Drosophila melanogaster: one gene and its partner. The protein of the gene in region 1 interacts with the protein of each later gene in a pairwise test. Each region holds a gene or a part of one and is shown on either strand. Other genes may lie near its edges.

What was found.
Region 2: the proteins of nur (region 1) and CG7755 interact in a two-hybrid assay, tested with the Drosophila melanogaster proteins (one large-scale study listed by BioGRID).

What each region holds. Positions count from the first base shown.
Region 1 is NT_033779.5:13,734,133-13,737,566, forward strand, and holds nur (nemuri), read left to right. Parts: upstream 1-2,005; 5' UTR 2,006-2,060; coding exon 2,061-2,579; 3' UTR 2,580-2,898; downstream 2,899-3,434.
Region 2 is NT_033778.4:16,280,805-16,284,819, forward strand, and holds CG7755 (uncharacterized protein), read right to left. Parts: upstream 2,143-4,015; 5' UTR 2,058-2,142; coding exon 921-2,057; 3' UTR 826-920; downstream 1-825. Other genes in the region: CG15705 (uncharacterized protein), read left to right, coding at 218-499, 715-747; CG9068 (uncharacterized protein), read left to right, coding at 2,631-2,694, 2,747-3,445, 3,510-3,849, 3,909-4,015.

The DNA of each region.
Region 1 (3,434 bases):
GCGGGCATGACTGTGGCACAACCCAGAATCCAATGTTTTGGCAACAAGGCACCAGAAAAAGGCCAAGCAACTCCCCCATATTTTTGGCCTTTTGCTGCTCGGGGCCATTGTGAGTTACCCGGAGAAAGTCAAATAACTTAGGCAAATCCGGAAAGGCCAAAAGAGTTTTGTCTCAGCTCCGCTGTCAGGATGTGGCCCCCAGCTAGTGAATCCACGTCTTAGAGGAGACTCGAGACTGCCATACGGGGATCTGCGATCGAAAAAAGCCATGTTCTGATGTTCTTCTTTGATAAATTTTAATTGTTAGTGTGGTAAAAAAAAAGGCAACCATGTACCGAAAACCTATGTAGATCTAACATATACCTATGATTTGGATAAATTCCAAAGGAAGAAGTATTACATATATTTGGGTTATTTTATTTCTTTCATACTTAATGGATCTATCTTTATATCTGTTTAAGCATTCTCCACTTATTTGCAAATGATGAACGGCTTCCGCTTTTACTTTCAGAATATGGTTGAGCTTTAAAAAAAATGTATGAAACAAATATATGATAAGAGCTGAACGCTTTACGACTGAAGCCCTTGTCCACTTAGACTATTCCCTTCACTGCATCCATGACCATGAAATTTCCAGAGATGGCTTCTCCCTGGACGAAGACAATGCAGTTAATCGGAGGAGGAAGAGCAGGATTCGGGATATCCAATGCCAGTCGTAGGGACATGTGAGCCCTCTTTTGTTGGCTGAAATTGAAAATCCTTTGTTCACCCACTAAGCGCTTTTTAATTAGATTTCAAGCACGCCTGAATAGGTGTCCTGCGAATCGGACACAAGGATCTCCCCGTAGATGCATTGCTCATGCTCATGCCTGTCGTTCAGCCTTTAATCAGATTAAAGTTTCTGGAGCGTTTTTTTAACAACTGCTTCTTAGGCCAAATAAAAATCAACAATTGTAAATCATTTGAACAAATGTCGACCACGTGATTTCCGGCGGCACGTGCTTCAGCTCCAAGGCGCCCCATCTTCCGGTTCCGCCAACAGCTGCCGAAGCAGAAATTATTGGCAAAGCGTTTAAGCGCAATAAATATGTTTGATTGCTGGCAAGTTGCCCAAAAAGATGTATATCTAAAGATAAATATATACGTAAAGCTGGACGGGAATCGCTGGCTTCCGGCATCCTGCGATCCTTTTTCACCCACACCAGCAGCTCCGAACTCAGAGCAAATTTGTAATTCATTTAAACGCGCAACTAAACCGCTTCAAGCTGTTTGCTCTGCACTTTTTAATAGTCGCAGATTGTACTCCATACTGAGATCACTGTGACAAATGTAATGTATTTTGCAAAATAAATATATAGGTATTCAAAAAAAAAATGTTCTTCATTTATCTTTATACGTAGTACATATTATATGTAAAAAAATCTTCGTTTTCTTTAATACATTTTTCAAAAATTAATATTCAGTTTAAATAAAGGGGCATGGCATTCTTTTTTTTTGCAGTGCAGTTTCAGGAAGCTGCACGGACGGAACTCCGCTGAATTATCCAGCCAGCCAAAGGGGCCACGAGCATTGCTCGACTAAATCAAACGAAAGCGCAGCTAAAACGCTTTTGTGCAATTCGATTATTTACGTTTATTCTTTTTTTAAATGATATTTCCAGTCTGGCCAGTGGGTTCGGTGGCACGAGGAGCAAGAAACCAATTATTTGCCAACGGAGCGGAGTAGCTGTTAGCCAGCCGGAGGGCAAGCAATTTGTAAGGAAATGAAGCGCAAGCAGGGGAACCGGAAAATGTGCTGCAGTTGAAAGGCGAAAGGGTAAACAAAAGATCAAATTAATAGCCGCACAGCATCGATATCGAAACCGGGTTGATTGGTGGGGGGCAAATACAGCTGTGTGTGTTGCAACATCTTGCAGTGGGCAAACATTGAAACAGGTGCCATGGCTTTGGAGCTCCAGCGGATCGGATGGGCATAGGTATAAAAAACCGGAGGTGACACCTCGAAAGCATCACAACCACTTCCGGCCTTCCACAAGCAACAGTTCGACTGCAACCAACGATATGTCAGCCAAATATACACTGATCTTTGCCCTGGCGGCTCTCTGCTGTCTGGTGTTCTCCACCGAGGCGGCGGCCCAGCGCAGCCGAGTTCTCAGCTCTCGCCGTGGCTCCGAGCTGGTCGAGAAGACGTCGGACAACAAGGAAGACTCCGAGCTGGCCGCCCAGGAGCAAGACCTGGAGCGCCAGGAGCAGGAGGAGCAGAATGACAGACTGGAGGGACGCAGCGATGATGTTGCCGAGGGCAGCGACAACAAAGAGGACAAGGAGACCGCCACCAACAACAAGGACACCATCGTGAAGCCCAACAAGGATGACGCCCGTGCCCGCCGCATCGTTCGTGCCGGTCGTCGTCGTGGTGGACGCCGCGGTGGTCGCCGTGGAGGTCGTCGTAGTGCACGCAAATCCGTGCGCCGTGGCGGACGACGAGGTGGACGCAGGCGCGGTGGACGACGTGGTCGTGGCGGTGCTCGCCGTCGCACCTCCGTGAAGAGGCGTTCCGGCAAGGGCAACAAGGCCTAAGAAGTTCCCCTCACAGATATAAGACTAACTGCCCGATCCACCGATTCGATACACACACAAATAAATTATGATTCTAACGAAATCACTCTAAATTGATTTTTTCCTTATTTATAAATTGTTATATTTAAGTATAAGTATTTTCTAAACCTAAAATTTAGACCCATCCCTTATTTTCTCTATTGACATTCATCTAAATGAAAATACTTTTGACCCATAACTTTCTGTCATAACGTTTTGCATGAATTAGTTTTTAAGGAACTTCTTCTTATAATGATATATGTACTTTCTTTAATATCAATCAACTGACTACAGCTGCCGTAGATAGTTAGTTTTAAATCGGCCTGTTTTAAAGAAGCACAGTCTAATTTTAAACAAGTCTAATGCCCTTTTCGTTAACAAATGTGTAATAATAGACATGATTAAGTTTAATATGCAGGTTTTTAAGCTTTAAAGTAGTACTTAATATGTACTCCATTACAGAAAAATCATTGTTAAAGAGCCTGTAGAAGTGCCGGCAAACTTTCAACAGCTTCTGGTTAAACATTTGCAAAGCGCAGGGCAGTGTCGGCCTGATTCGCATTCTTTGCGACGTCCCGTCGTCCTTTCGTACCATCGTCCTTTGGTCCTTTGGTCGTGTGCCATCCCTGCAGCGACGTGACATGTGACAAGAAGTTGCCGCGATGTTGCTGCAACAGCTGCTGTCGCCTGGCGGCTGAAATCCTTGGTCCTTCCTGCTCGTGCGAGCACCCGAAAAATGATGAATGTGCCAATGTTGCTGGGCTGTTGCCACATCCTCTTGGTCTTGGTCTTGGTCCTGGCCGTGCCCCTCATACACTCTGCCAAACTTCCTTGGCT
Region 2 (4,015 bases), on another chromosome or scaffold:
ATAGGATAGTCCTGCTTCGGTATTTATGTAGTTGTTTACAGCCTCCGGCTTGGAACATAAATCCATTCAAATTGTACGTGCAAATGGGAGGACATCATGTTATATTACACACACCCGCAGCAGGCACTTCGAATTTGAGTTTTGAGCAAGTACAATTCATGTTTTGATACATTTTTGATAGCTGAGCAACAAAATCATACCAAATTCCCCTCTGAACATGGACAGCCCAGTAAAACAGCGCCTAAAACCCAAGAAGCTGGACAAACATCCAGGAACTCAGAAGGTCGAGTTCAAAAAGGATATCATCGATGAGGTAGCGGATCAGTCGGTTGAATACGATTACATGAAGTATCCCAGCAATAAAGAGAAGGCAAAACTCCTGAAAGGCGTTAAACCATCGAAAAGTGTCACATTCAAGACGGTGGTGGAGCTGGTGACCTATTCGGAAAACTGGAAGATGAAGATGAGCGAGAGCAGGCTGCGCTCGGAGGATGAGCAGGTGTGGTTACGGATGCTAAAGTCCACTTTCCGATACTCGGGCACCACGTATTTCTGATGCATTTGGACAAGCCTATTAAAAATTTTAGTTTTACTAGAACAATTTAAATAAAATACTACTACTACTTTTTGATACGTTTTCCAATGCATCAGACTTATTCTTATTTTCAGTTTCTTATATTACAATCTAATCATTCTTTTAATCTTAAACTTTAGCTGAAGAGCTCCCAAAAATATCGCAACTACTGACAACTTTCCTTAAAATTATTGTTCGTTGTAAGCTAATAAATTGTTATGTGTTGATAAAAAAATATTTCGAGAAAAACTAAAAATAGTTGGTTTTTATTTTGGAAAAATAATGGTCACAGACAATTTAATGAGAGTTTTTTTTCCCCAATATCATATATTTTATGGCAGGATCTTTATTTACCCAATGCTCGGCATCGCAGCTGGTTGATGATGTTGCAAATGACATACTCGCCGGTATCCTGGCCACCGAACTCCTTGGTGCGAATGCCTTCGTCCATGGTGCGCTTCAGCTCGCACCACAGTGCATCGGCGCACTTATCGTGGCCCAGATGCTGGAAGAGATCCACAATGGTGGACACGATGCCGTATGCACTTAGATTGGCATAATTGGTCAGCGATAGTTTCGTCTGGAGCGGTTTGAAAACGGCATGGTGATCTCCGATCTCCACCGCACTGAAGAGATTAGCCCCGCCACAGACTCCACTGCAGATGGCGGATAGGAATGTGGCATAGCGTTCGCTGGCGAAGAGGCAATCGAAGTAGGTGGGCTCCGTCATCAGCCGGCTGATGGCCTCCTCCACCTCCATGAGCTCCAGCTCCAGGCAATCCTTGTAGTGGCAGTGCAAGCGCTGTGCGGCTTCCACCAGTGAGCCATCGCTAATGGGCCACTCCTTGGCCTTGTTGATCAGCGTCACCCGTTTCCGGCCCGCCTTTGCAGCCGCCTTAAAGGCGTACCGCAGATACTTGTCATTGCCTTTTTGGGAGACGACGGACAGGGCCTCCACCACTCCCTCCACGGGTGAATATTCCAGTTCGTTGAAGATACCCATGTTGTTCTGACCGATTAACTGGATGTCCACGCCCGGAAAGCGGCACTTGAAGCCGGGAAAGCTGCGTGTCCGGGTCTTGAAGACGTACAAGTCCAGATCATTGCAGATCTTGAGCGCCTTCTGCTTGGCTTCCGCGTCCGCCTGATTGTCCACATGAACGGCGGTTCTGTTCCGGAGCACCGAGTGGAAGTACTCGTCATCTTGGCCAGCTTCGATGACTTGGACCTCCACAGGGACGCGGCTGCTCGAAAGCAGGGATGACACGAATTGGGCTCCCTGCTGGCCAATGATGGTGGTGCCCGTGACCAGAGAGACCGTATTGATTCCACCGTACTTGGACTTGGGCAGCACATTGACCGGATCAGCTCGAGCGTCTCCTTTTGCGTAGGCCGCTCGCACACTGCCGTGGATCTCGTCTGCGAAGTGGCGGACGCTGATCCTGGCCAGCATCGACTGAGTCACTTTCGGGCATCTTAGCATTATTTTAAAGATGAATCCTAGGAATGTATCTGCTAAGTAAGCAAGTGACACAAATTGCCCCCACAACTGTATACACAAATATTTTGAGATCCTATTCCTAAGTCCGAGTTCCTAAATTAGTGTAAAAGAATGAAATTTTTATTGCTATTTTTCAGCTGAGTAACGGGTATCTGATAGTCGATGCACTTAACTATAGAATTCTCTCTTGTTTTTAAATAAAGCGCCGTTTTCGGGCAGATTGGTGTGACCAAGGCTTGCTACCCTAAAAATCGCTTAAGATTCCATTTCATACTTTTAGTTCGACATTAGATAATAGTGGCTATGTAAAATGATGTAGAAGAGTTTTTACATTTCTACATTTTTAGAATAAACATTTTTAAGACAAAAAAGAATCATTGTAAATGTATTTTTAAACTGCAATAGTCATTATGTTTTTGAAAAGCCCACCGGAAATGCACTTAGAAAATGAAGCACTTGTTTAGCGCGAACTAAAAGTAACGGAAAGGCCGGCTTCCGGTTGCCATGGATTTTTGTTAAGTTTTCTGTAATTTTGGTGAGTAAAAACTCGGTGAAATGGCCTCCTCCAGCGCTGTAGAAGATGAGCATCTAACGGATTCCGATTTAACCGACGATGAGGGTGAGTTTGTGTCACTATTTCCCCTAGAACTTCTTTTAATCCTGGAACCCAGAGCGCAGCGTGGAACCTCGTCAGGAGGAGATCCGTCCGGAGACCCCAAAGCCATCGTATAGCGACGAGGAACTGAACCAACTGGTGGGCTACATTCAGCGGATGAGTGTGTTGAGCTGCTTGGATCACAGGGACTGGCAGGAGGGAACTCTGGACATCATCCGCGGCTGGCTACTGGAGGTTCACGAGCCCCTGCTAACCATTTACTACGACAGGGATGCCCTAGCCGCCTGCTTGGGCATGCCCTCCATGTGTGTCTCGGATCTGAGTTACTTTCGCCGCGAACCGAATGAGATTTTTAGCGTGGAGGGATTTCACGATGAGATTAACTTCGGCACCTTGACAAGCGATGTGGATGGCTGCTTGATGGAGCTACTCGATCGCTTGTACGTCCCCTTCTTCCGGAACTATCTCGAATGGAATGCCACGGTGCGTAACCGTTTCTGTTCCAGCATGGACAGATTCCTGGCATTTCTCAGCGGAATGCACCATCAAATCTCTGGGATGTCCGTGATGTACGTCCCCTTTGTCATCAAGGAGTTGACGGCTGGGCCCGTTGATAGATACTTGGTCGGCAGCCTGGAGGGCATCGCTCTCTACTGGACCACACAGATTCGAACTTTGCTGGCAGACGATACTTTGACGGTTCCACATGATCTGGTCACCGTTCGGGATGAGTTTGAGTTCTGGGAATATCGCTGTAAGTTTGTAACTGTTGCGCCTGTAAAGTATATATAAATTGAAGATGGTGTTCTCCTATTTAGATGAAGTCCTTCAAGGAATCAATGATCAATTGGCTCATTCGGATGTTCAGAAGGTTTTGTTACTCTTGCACAATGCCCAATCCGTGCACATGCCACAAATGGATGGACTTATTGAGAGGGCCAGAAAGGAGCTTCATAAATCTCTGTCGAATATTAAGTACCTTCATCTGCTCATTGAGCCCTGCTCCAAAATCGATGCGGCCACAAGCCCGGCGGATTTGACGAAACTTTTACCTCGCATTATCCACCTCATACGTTTCATTTGGCTGAATTCGGAATACTACAATACAACTAGGCTAATTGCTGCATTGTTTCGGAATTTGAGTAATCAGATCATAAGGTGAGTATTACATGAATCACACAAGTGGATAATATATACAACATTATTGCTCCTTACAGATTCTGCACAAAGCAAACCAAAGTGGAGGAGATCCTCTCGGGCAAACCGCGTTTCGGCATTAGGATATGCAACGTGGCTATTGAGTGCTGCCTGACTTATAGGGGAA